Linked DNA regions of Caenorhabditis elegans. The protein of the gene in region 1 purifies or fractionates together with the protein of each later gene. This does not show direct contact. Each region holds a gene or a part of one and is shown in the gene's direction. Other genes may lie near its edges.

The links.
Region 2: the proteins of clp-1 (region 1) and ZK849.6 fractionate together in Caenorhabditis elegans (co-fractionation; one large-scale study listed by BioGRID). This does not show direct contact.
Region 3: the proteins of clp-1 (region 1) and pycr-4 fractionate together in Caenorhabditis elegans (co-fractionation; one large-scale study listed by BioGRID). This does not show direct contact.

What each region holds. Positions count from the first base shown.
Region 1 is NC_003281.10:7,978,944-7,982,700, forward strand, and holds the start of clp-1 (Calpain clp-1), read left to right. Parts: upstream 1-2,130; 5' UTR 2,131-2,225; coding exon 2,226-2,327; intron 2,328-2,421; coding exon 2,422-2,545; coding exon of another isoform or gene 2,546-2,661; exon of another isoform or gene 2,662-2,729; coding exon 2,730-2,867; intron 2,868-3,520; coding exon of another isoform or gene 3,521-3,595; intron 3,596-3,757. UniProt on the Caenorhabditis elegans protein: Calcium-regulated non-lysosomal thiol-protease which catalyzes limited proteolysis of substrates. Required for assembly and maintenance of integrin attachment complexes which are essential for maintenance of adult muscle.
Region 2 is NC_003279.8:14,197,954-14,201,136, reverse strand, and holds ZK849.6 (NADH dehydrogenase subunit 1), read left to right. Parts: upstream 1-2,000; 5' UTR 2,001-2,129; coding exon 2,130-2,147; intron 2,148-2,271; coding exon 2,272-2,394; intron 2,395-2,446; coding exon 2,447-2,503; 3' UTR 2,504-2,526; downstream 2,527-3,183. Other genes in the region: best-26 (Bestrophin homolog 26), read right to left, coding at 485-622, 671-795, 857-916.
Region 3 is NC_003282.8:7,475,588-7,479,216, reverse strand, and holds pycr-4 (Putative pyrroline-5-carboxylate reductase 4), read left to right. Parts: upstream 1-1,919; 5' UTR 1,920-1,927; coding exon 1,928-2,036; intron 2,037-2,094; coding exon 2,095-2,348; intron 2,349-2,416; coding exon 2,417-2,953; 3' UTR 2,954-3,054; downstream 3,055-3,629. Other genes in the region: Kinetochore-associated protein rod-1, read right to left, coding at 1-59, 117-412, 460-612, 668-764; slc-25A18.2 (SLC (SoLute Carrier) homolog), read right to left, coding at 3,138-3,433, 3,484-3,629.

The sequences.
Region 1 (3,757 bases):
AGGCGATTCTCAGTTGTTTGCTTCCTCTCTTTCTTTCTACCCATGCCAACGAGTTTTGTTTTCTTTTTGATTTTTTAAATTTTTTTGCGATAGGAAATAAGATGATAGTAAATACTGAAAGGTTTATTAGTCGACTGTTGTTTCCCGCTGATGAATAAGGAAATTAAAATTTTTTTTGTTGAAAAATTGTGTTTTTTCGAACAAATGTCGAGATTTTGTTAGAACGTTAAATAAGAATTGCTCCAGCCCAACCAATTACTCCGAAATTCATCGAAAGAAGGAATTTGTAGTGGAAACAATAAATAAAGCTCGTAAAAGTTTTTTGTGGGCTCTTTTTGTCTGAAACACCTCCGTTTCTAAAAATTGCAACTACATTCCCGTATACAAAAGTTCTTTCGACCAAGAACAAAAAAATTTCAGTTGCTTTTCTCCTTTGACAAAAATTAACAAATAAAATGAATATTTTAGGAGCCAAATAAAAAAAATTAAACAAAAAAGAACAGTCCTCATTTGGATTTAGATTTCTGTAATTGTAAGTCGTAAATCCGCAACATCTAGATAATCGTCAAATGGGGCTCAGACAGCTCAAACCCTGGCTTTTTGAATGATTGGCAACCAACGTTGGTGAAATTTTCTCATTTTTAAATCGCTCACCACTTCTTTATTCTAAAGAGTTCTCTGGTCACTCACCTATAAATCCAAAAAAAAGTGCTTCGATACACAAAATTTTATTCTCTTTTCAAAGAAAAAGGGACCTTTTCCTCTATGCTATCGATCACCTGCGAATAGAACCTAACGGAAAACAAAAACAAAAAGAGCAACTGAGCCCCGGAGCCTCACCAAAACCAATTATCAACGGCGCGGAACATCTTTTCCCCTCTATTTCTGCCATCACATTCCGTTTCGAGAAAAAAAAGAGCAACTTTTTCCTGCTCTGAGCCATAGGGTGCTCCTTTATTTCCGGTTGGTCCCTCTAGCTCTCCATTTCTCAAAACGAGCTGCTTGTTGCTCCCTTTTTGAGCTCATTCTGTGCTCGTTTCTCGAGGAGAATTGCCCGGTGCAATGAATGTATTCAATTGTTGTCTTGTTGGTGAGTCAAATTTGTATGAAAAAAAATTCAAGAAATGTATTGTATTGTTGTCTACGTGTGATCCAGAGTATCTTCAGAAGGTGTGGTTTTTTTTCTGAACTCTAAATTAAAAAAAAAACACATTTTCGGCCTGCTCCTGACACTGAGTTGACATGTCCTTCGCTTAGACTCATGGGAATGTAGAATTGGTTTCAAAAGCAAAACACGCAAACTCTGGTCCCCCGCAGCTTTTACATCGATTTCCAAATGTTTTTTGTTCGTTTTCTCGGTTTCAAAAGACAATTTTATCCGTATCAAAAGGTCATACAGGGAAATTTCGGAACAAAATTGAAAGAAAAATCCTTGAATAATTGAAAATCATGTTCAAAAATTACGATTTGCTTAGTTTTATCTGATTTTCTGAGCATATTCTATATTTCGAAACCCATTGAATGTGGCAATTGTTTTTTTGGTGTGTTGTGCCTCACTCCAATACCAATTTCCGTGACGATTAAATTGAAAACAAGACCGAAAAACCAAAAGAGAAACAAAAAAATAAAATCTAGTTTTTTTTTCTCCCCCTGTCACATTGAATTTATATTTTTATCCGTTTCCAATTAGGTTCATCCGTTTTGTTTGCCATCGATAGCTAATTGATGACAATCAAATAAATTAATAGATAAAGTTTCTATTTCCATTAACTCAAATTTCCTTTATTCTGTCAACTAAATTTATGTTGTTTCGTGCTCAGAAAATATGAGAAAAAAAACAGAAAAATGCATGCACAAAAAAGTTGACGCTAATCTTTGTCTCCCCAACTCCGAAGGCTCAAAGAGCACGCAAAGGGCTTATCGATTTTAAGAATTACACATTCCTTAAAAAAAGCTCTAACTCTAAAAATTATTTTATGTTTCCATTCTCAATTGCTGTATCCCCAAGAAGAGGTAAAAATTTGTTTTTTTTTTCTCTATGTTGTGAGCCTGATTGCTCTGCTTCTTCTGACTTTTTCGTTGAACAAAAATCAAATTTTATTTCAAATTCATAGATATTCTGTTTTGCAGACCCCGAAAATCGTGCGGCAGGCTCAAACGAGGAGGAAAACTATCAAAAAAAGACAACAACCGACGGTTTCACAGCAAAAGCCGACGGAATCAAAATGGCTGACGATGAGGAAGAAATTATTCAAAAAGTCGAAGTGAAGCCGGATGAATTCAATGGATTAATTGGATCAATTGCTGGTAACCTGATTAGAGATAAGGTTAGTTTAATTTTTGGTTAGAATATTTTTTTTTTAAATTTGCTACATAGACATGTTGAAATTTAATTGCAACCTAAAACTAATTATCTCACAGGTCGGTGGCGCCGGTGGTGATATCCTTGGAGGCCTTGCCAGTAACTTCTTCGGAGGTGGAGGCGGCGGAGGAGGCGGCGGCGGAGGCGGAGGTTTCGGTGGTGGAAATGGAGGATTCGGTGGAGGTATTTTTATTTTCAAAATTGTCAGACAAAAATTCCCTAAAAATTCAAGTTCCTTTTTTTGTGTTAGAAAACATTTAGATTCACTCAAAACATCACCGTGTGGCTTAGATCAGTGAATTTTTTCTCACACCTTATATGTTGTCCATGTTATCGTAATCCCATTTGCTGCTACAGTAATCCATAGGTTCGAACTACGATCAAGGCGGGAATGGGAACAGCGGAGATCAACAAAAAAGGAAACGAGACATGGCGAAAGACTTGATTGGAGGAATATTCGATAATGTGGTGAATAGGAAAGGAAAGAAGGAGCAGGATAACTATGGTAGCGTTTGTGTTTTTTTTATTTGCTGTTTTGTGCTTTCTATAGATTTGATTATATAATTAGCTTAATCATTTTCTCAAATTTTCTGAACATGGTCTGTAATTTATTATCCTCGGTTTTTTTTCTAGTTTTTCATTCTTGGACGTCTGGGAATGTGAAGCTTCTTTGTCTTTTGTTCCGTAATTGTTCACCAATCTTCAAGCTTTTTTCTTGAAAATAGCGCAATTCCACGCTCATAGCACAAATTCATCAACTTATGTTAAAAATCAGGTGGAGGTCGACAACAGCCGCCACCAAATAACAATTTTGGTGGTGGAGGTGGATCTGGCGGTGGCGGAGGGTTCGGAGACATTCTTGGGGGACTTTTGAGCGGCGGAGGTGGCGGCGGTGGACAAAGAGGCGGCGGAGGGCAAAATTACGGTCTGAGAGTTTGAAAATACAATAAGTTAAGCTTCTACGCACTCACCAACACTCACTTAAATACTAACAACACCACTCATTTCCAAAATTTGATTTGAAAAATATGGCTATTTTGAAAGAAGCTTTAGACTTTTAAATTCTCCTGTTAATTCGCTTTTGACTGATGATTCGTGATTTTCCTTTAAAAATGCAATATTTTGCATGTTTGCTGTGATATTTCGTGTGAAATTTAGGCGGAGGCGGCAGTGGCGGTGGCGGTGGTGGAAACAACATCGGAAGCTTGGTCGGATCACTTATTGGTGGTGGTGGTATGCATTAGGATTGTAGTGTGCATGTAGTATCATAAATGTTGTGTTAATATTTTAATAGTTAATAGAGCTGATGATCAGAACATTTATAGATCTTATTGACACTTATTTATCACATCTAATTGTATTTCATTTCTGAACTATCTACACAAATGTGGCACC
Region 2 (3,183 bases), on another chromosome or scaffold:
ACTAACTAACAAAATGTAGACAATTTTACGCTCTACATTTTAATAATTAACAATTTTTGATAATGTCATTCAGTGCAGAGTTATGAAGGTTTAAAGTTGAGCCGCAATATCACTGTGGACATCACAGTGGGCAGGAGTGTACTCTTTTTTCAAACCCTAATAACTCCGCGTAGAATAAAAATACCAAAAAGTTATCAACTGACAAAATGTAGAAAATTTTCCGCTCTACATTTTGTTAGTTAACAACTTTTTGATATTACTATTCACTGCAAAGTTATGGAGGCTTGAAGTTAAACCGCAATATCACTGTGTGCTGGAGAGTGTTCCATCTTTAAACCCCAATAACTCCGCGCAGAAAGGATACAAAAAGTTATCAACTGACAAAACGTAGAAAATTGTTCGCTCTACATTTCACAAGTTGACAACTTTTTAGTAACTTAGCTTTCAGTGGAATTACAAAGGTTTCAAGAATGCCGCAATTTACCTCTCAATATATGCTAAACTGTCCAGCGACTTTCTCCACCGATCCACCACACTAGAAACGAAGAAACCAAGCAAAAACTCCAAGGGTATCGTAAATTCCTGATGGGACAGCAAGTTTTCGACAATTTTTCTGATTTCACTGAAAAAAAGCTACATTTTAAAGAGTTTTTCCAGCGAAATCACTTACCGTTGACCTCCGCTCTTTGGTAAAACAAGTCGATAGATCACCATAAATAAAAAATACAAGCCAAGAAACAAACATAACTCTTTAAAAATCGCTGTAAATAAATTTCCTTTCCTTTTGAGCATAATCTGAATTTTTTAAACTTTAAGTAAACATTAATAACATTTTTGTCTAAAACTGTTAACCTACTTTGAAAAAATTGCGTAGAGCATTTCCAGTTGGAACATCTCGATAATATGGAACAGTCATCTGAAAAAGAGCGGTAACTTTGCCAAAAATTGAGATATCAAAAAGTTGTCAATTAATAAAATGTAGCAAATTATTTGTTTTACATTTTGCTAGTTGACAACTTTTTGATATCTCTTCCAGTTTCTAAGGTATGCGCCTTTAAAGTTGACAGCCGCTAAACTCACATTTTCCAACAGAAAGGTTAGTTGAGGAATGTTTGATTTATCGATTTTAAAACGTTTTTCAAAGTTTGCAACGTCAAAAGTTCCAAATATAAAAATAAACTCACGTGGAAAGTTTTAAAATTTAAAACTTAAAATTTTTTTGAAATTTGAAATTTCGCGTGAAAATCGAGTTTTTATTTTTTGGAAAATTGTGGGTCCCGCCACGAAAACTCATGGGGTACTGTAGGTATTGCACATATGCGGATCATATTTTACAAATATGCTAATCAGTATTTGAAACATACTGTAAAACAAAATCAGTCCAAAAACTTGAAAATTGACAAAATTATGAAGCTTTTAATTTTTGAAATTTTGCAAATATTGAAAACTTGCGTTCCGCCACGAAAACTCATGGGGTACTGTAGATTTTATAGGTTTGATTTTTAAAATTTTGCAACAAATTAACAATAATTTTCTAAACATTTTGAACTAAAAATCTCTTTAAAATATAAAAAACTTTAAACAGTTATACAATTTCAAACATTTTCAAAAAAAAATGTTGGGTCCCGCCACGAAAACTCATGGGGTACTGTAGATTTTTGAGATTTAATTTTAAAAAATTCTGTATCAAATTAACAATGATTTTCTACCCATTTTGAACTTAAAATCTCTCAAAAATCTAAAAAACTACAAATGCAATGTAATTTCAAACATTTTCAAGAATTTTTTAAATATTTTTCGAGTCCCGCCACGAAAACCCATGGGATACTGTAGGTTTTTAAGTAGTAAATGGCAAAATTTATTCAGTTATTGCTAAAGCTTTAATGCAAGTTTTAAGCCTAAAATTAGCTTTACATCTAAACAATTGAAAAAGATACGGAATTTTGAAAAAAAAATAATTTTAAAAAAGTGTTTAAATTTTTTCATTACGTGATAACTTTTTTGAAGTTTTGAAATTTGGAAGTTTTTCTTCAAATTAATCAATCAAAAATCAATACTTCAAATATCGATTTTTCATTCATTCCTTCCATTTTTCACTTTTCGAGGCAAAAAATCGAATCCGGTAAACCATGGTGTATTCCAATCAAGTAAGTGTTTTGATTCAGATTTCCAGTTTTAAAGCTGAAAAACTTGATTTTTCACCTAAAAATGTGCTAAAAATGCTACAAATATGCTCCAAAGCCCCCCAAAAATTCAATTTTCTATTTTCAGAAGCTCGCTTGGTTCGACTATTTGGCCTCTCCGATCATTCTTTGCTGGTATCTCGGAGTCTTCTCCGCATTTTTGCTCTTTGTCGTGAAGCCGTGTATGATTCCAAAGGGATCTGCGAAACAGGTATGAAATTTCAGATTTTTTTCAGAAAAAAAAAGTTTTTTTTAAATTTCAGCCATTCATGTACTGTGGGGAGAAGCCGTACAACAACCCAGCCCTCAGAGTTCGCTAGAAAATGAAGTTTTGTACTCAAATGTTATTTTGTCTGTTTATATGTTTGTTTTTTTGTATGCACCGAAAATTTCATAGTCTTCCGATGATTTTATTCTAACATGCAATTAACAATTAGGTGTGTGCGGAGCGGTCGCGTCGCGGGCGCGTCGCAGTCGCATCGCGGCTAGTTTCATTTTTTCAAATTGCCATAACTTGCTTCATATTTGAGCTAGAAGCCTGAAATTTTTGCAGGTGATTTTACAGAGCTAGGACTTTCATATTTAAAGTATTTAAATTTTAAATTCTTCCGCGTTGCGGTCGCGAATTTACTCTTCCAAGAATACAGACTCAAAATGTTTCCTTTCAAAAACAAATTTCGGACCCTGGAATTCCGGTTGTATGTTTTCCACAAAACCCCCTCTCTCTACTGTTAATCAAATTTCGCCTGCGCCGGCTCTTCCAGTTTTCTAATTAGATCAACGCAAACACACCATGTCTTTTTTTCTGGAGTATATACATACATGAAGTATAACACATTTTGAAAAAAATTGAACCGCGACGCGGCCGCACCGCACCGGAGAAAGTAGGAGGATCTAGTTTGGGCAAATGAAGGATATTAGGTAGAAGACTCAATCTGAAAGTTTCAGAGATTTACCGTTGTTAGCATCCAAGTTATGGCTGCTGGAACTCTGAATTGAA
Region 3 (3,629 bases), on another chromosome or scaffold:
GTAATGTCACCTGCGACCTTCGACATGTCAACAGACTTTGAAACCGTTTTTCCCATTGCCTGAAAAGAGAGTATTAAAATTAATTTGAAACTTTAAATGAATGTGATGAGCGTTACCTGGTGGAAAAATTCCTGAATCTGATCTCTGTGCCAATTTTCGAAACGGTTAGTCTCCTTAGATGCAGCCACGTCTCCTGGCAATGTGATAGTATGCCAATTATCAGATCGGCTCCCGAAAATCAATTGGCAAACACTGGAAGTAGTGTGACAGACAACGAAGTCAATTTCATGAGGAGCTGGCTCGTTCAAGTAAATTTCTTGTTTATCCAGCGAGAGAATTACAATACGACGATGTTCAATGACTCCAACAAAGAAGGAAGAACTTCCAAGGATTTCGAAATCAGTGATGGCTCCTGAAAATGTTGAGAAATCATTCCAGAGACTCTGAAATAGCTCATACCTCCAAGTCCGGTGTTGAACGAGTAGTCGCTTTTCTCGCCAAGACTGAAGACTGCCAGATCGGAGCACGACGCAAGAACAAGAAATCGCTCGTTACTTTTCGGTTTGAGCTTCCATGCCGGAGATTTCTTATCGATTGACATCTCATTTAACACTGAAACATACATTTAATTACATTAATCATAAAGATAATAGTTTTATTTTCTTACGGGGAAGGATTCGCCCAACGGTGCACACATCATAAAGGCCCACAGTCGACGTTTCCGCTTCCAAGTCCACAGCTTTTGCTTCGCCTAGGCGACCCATTCTGCAAATACGACATTATAATACACTGGTATCTCTAATTAAAAAATTTAACAGAAGAACGATTATAAAAATGAGTGAACAATTTCATTTCAAAAAATGTTTTTCGCCGCCGAAATAAGTGTCAGCAGGGCGCAATTTCCAAGTGTTAGAGTGAGAGAAACAAGACTTTTTTGAACCAAATAGTTGAATTTTGAAGCAAAAAACCAATAACTAAACACGAAAAGCGTTTCAAATCTCATACATTTCCTTACCTTTAACTGTGTTGAACAAAAATTAAATAATGAAAAACAATTAACACATTCAGTAAAAATTGATCGAAACGTGGAAATTACGTGTTCCTAACTATACAGCTTTTTTAAACGTAATTTTAGACCGGAAAACTTCTTTAAATTCAGAAATTTCACTATATTTATCAAAAATAAATAGTCTGAAACGATTTATTAGGATGAGGCGAGAAAATAACTGAAAATTAAAATGATATCCAAAAGAATTAAGATTCGTGTAAATATAGAGAAATTCGCGCCTAAAATTTGCGCGGGCAGGCGAAAAAAGACCGTAGTTTTTCGTCCCAAAACCCATCTCCAATATTCAGCATGCGCCTTTAATATGTCTACCGTATCTGCTCAGATGTTTCAAGTTTTTATCATAAATAAAATAATTTTACATTTTTTAAAGAAATTTTGAAGTGTTTATTTTCTGTGTTTCACCTGTTCCTACTGTTTTGTTCGTGGTTTGAACGTTTTGAATTATTTTCCAGAGCAGGATGACAAAACTGAACCGATGACAAATATATTTTATTATCTATACGGCCTCTGGAATGATGACAAAATAATCATCTAGGTGACTTTCTGTGCCTTTCACGGTTTTAAGATACAAATTTTTATAGAATACTAGTTTTTCATGTCAATTTCGGTACTAAAATGATCCCAGCATGTACCATAATATATCTTATTGTAACTTTTATATAAATGGAGACTTAGACGTCTAGACGTCTAACAAGAGACATAAAATAGAACCCAGTTATATGTTAAACGCACAGAGACGCAGTTGAGAAACAGAATCTCGTTAAGCGGGCAAACCTCTGCTCATGTCTTCTTCTTTTTTTTTTAATATGTTGCTTTTTGTTGTGTCAAAAACAATTATTATTGATTTCAGTCAAAACCATGACTATCGATACTGAATTGACAAACGGGTCCTCAGAGTCTGTGCCATTCGTGTTCATCGGAGGTGGAAATATGGCCGCTGCAATTATAAAAGGATGCCAGAATAAAGGTGAGTTAAAAAATTGTTCTCCTCGTTGATTTGAATTAAATTGTTTTCTAATTTTTAGGCTTTACACCGAAAAGCAATATTGTAATTGGCGTTCAAACGGAAAAATCGGCTGAGAAATGGAGGCAACTAGGATATAAAAACGTTTTCACAAACACACTGGAAATGCTGGAAAGATATTCGACGGCAATCTATGTGATTTGTGTGAAACCTCAAGTTTTCGAAGAAGTTGTGTCAAGCTGGCCTGTAAACTCAAGACCAGAATTTATTATTTCTGTAATGGCTGGAGTTCCATTAAAAGTTCTCAACGCGAAGGTGATTACTATAAGCAGTTATAAAATAATTTTAGAAATCATAATTTGCTGTACATAACATTTTTCCAGTTGCCATTCGTTTCGGGAAACACTACCATTGTTCGTTTGATGCCAAATGTAGCAAGTTCTATTGGAGCCGGCGCCTCGACGATGTGCTATGAAAAGAATGAAAAAATTATGAATCAAGATTCTCACATCGAATTGGCACGCGAGTTCGCCGAGTGTGTTGGAACTGTCGAACTTATCCCAGAAAGATGCTTTAACCCGGCAATGGCTATTGGAGGGAGTAGTCCTGCATGGACATTTATGTACATCGAATCACTGGCAGATGGAGCCGTCGCACAAGGGCTCGGACGAGCAGAGGCTAAAAGATTAGCTGCTCAAGCAGTACTCGGAGCAGCTCAAATGGTGCTCAATTCGAACTCTGGATTTGATATTGAAACTCAGCACTTTGGATCCCTCAAAGATATGGTTTGCTCCCCTGGCGGTACAACGATTGAAGGTGTTCGGGCACTTGAGAAGAACGGATTCCGTTACGCTGTTATGGAAGCTGTGGTAGCTGCCTCGACCAAGGCCGATGAAATGGCAAAATCTCTGGCCAAGTGATTAAGTTAGATTTTGTAATGCTTTTCACACATAACTTGTTGTTGTTGATATTTAAAAAAAAAATCTTTTTTTGAAAAAGAAAATAAATGCTCTAGGCGAAACCGACGCAAACGTTAAACATTGCAAATGACTGGCCAGAAATGAGCCCTAATTAATTGTGAAAATTTGGGAATTGGGGGGAAATTTATACTCTTGATCCTTTTTCCAAGCCGAGAATCTTTTCGGCCGATCCAACATAGTAGACAGTCTGAGCGATTCCGAAAAGTGGTGCCATTACCATCATTCTGCAAATTGCTCCTTTAAAAAGAGCTTTTACACCTTCATCAGCGAGAATACGATAAAACGCGTGGAAAATTCCGTTGTAGTTGGATCCTCCAGTTTGAATTCTTGTTTTCACAACGTCCAATGGAGTCACTGATAATGATGCAGTTGCTCCAGCAGTTAATCCTGATACAAAGCTTGCCCAGAATACTGCGTCGCCTTAAATATGAACTTGAAAATTTAAAGTTTCAGTAAACAATTCGACAAACCTGAATCGTCTTTCTTTCGTGGACCGAGGCCATCCAAATAGGCGAAAAGCGGGAAATACATTGCTGAAAACGAAACATCTCGTGCCATTGTCGGTCCAAGGCCTTTATACAATGCACGAACACCACCATCCTTTGTCAACAGATTC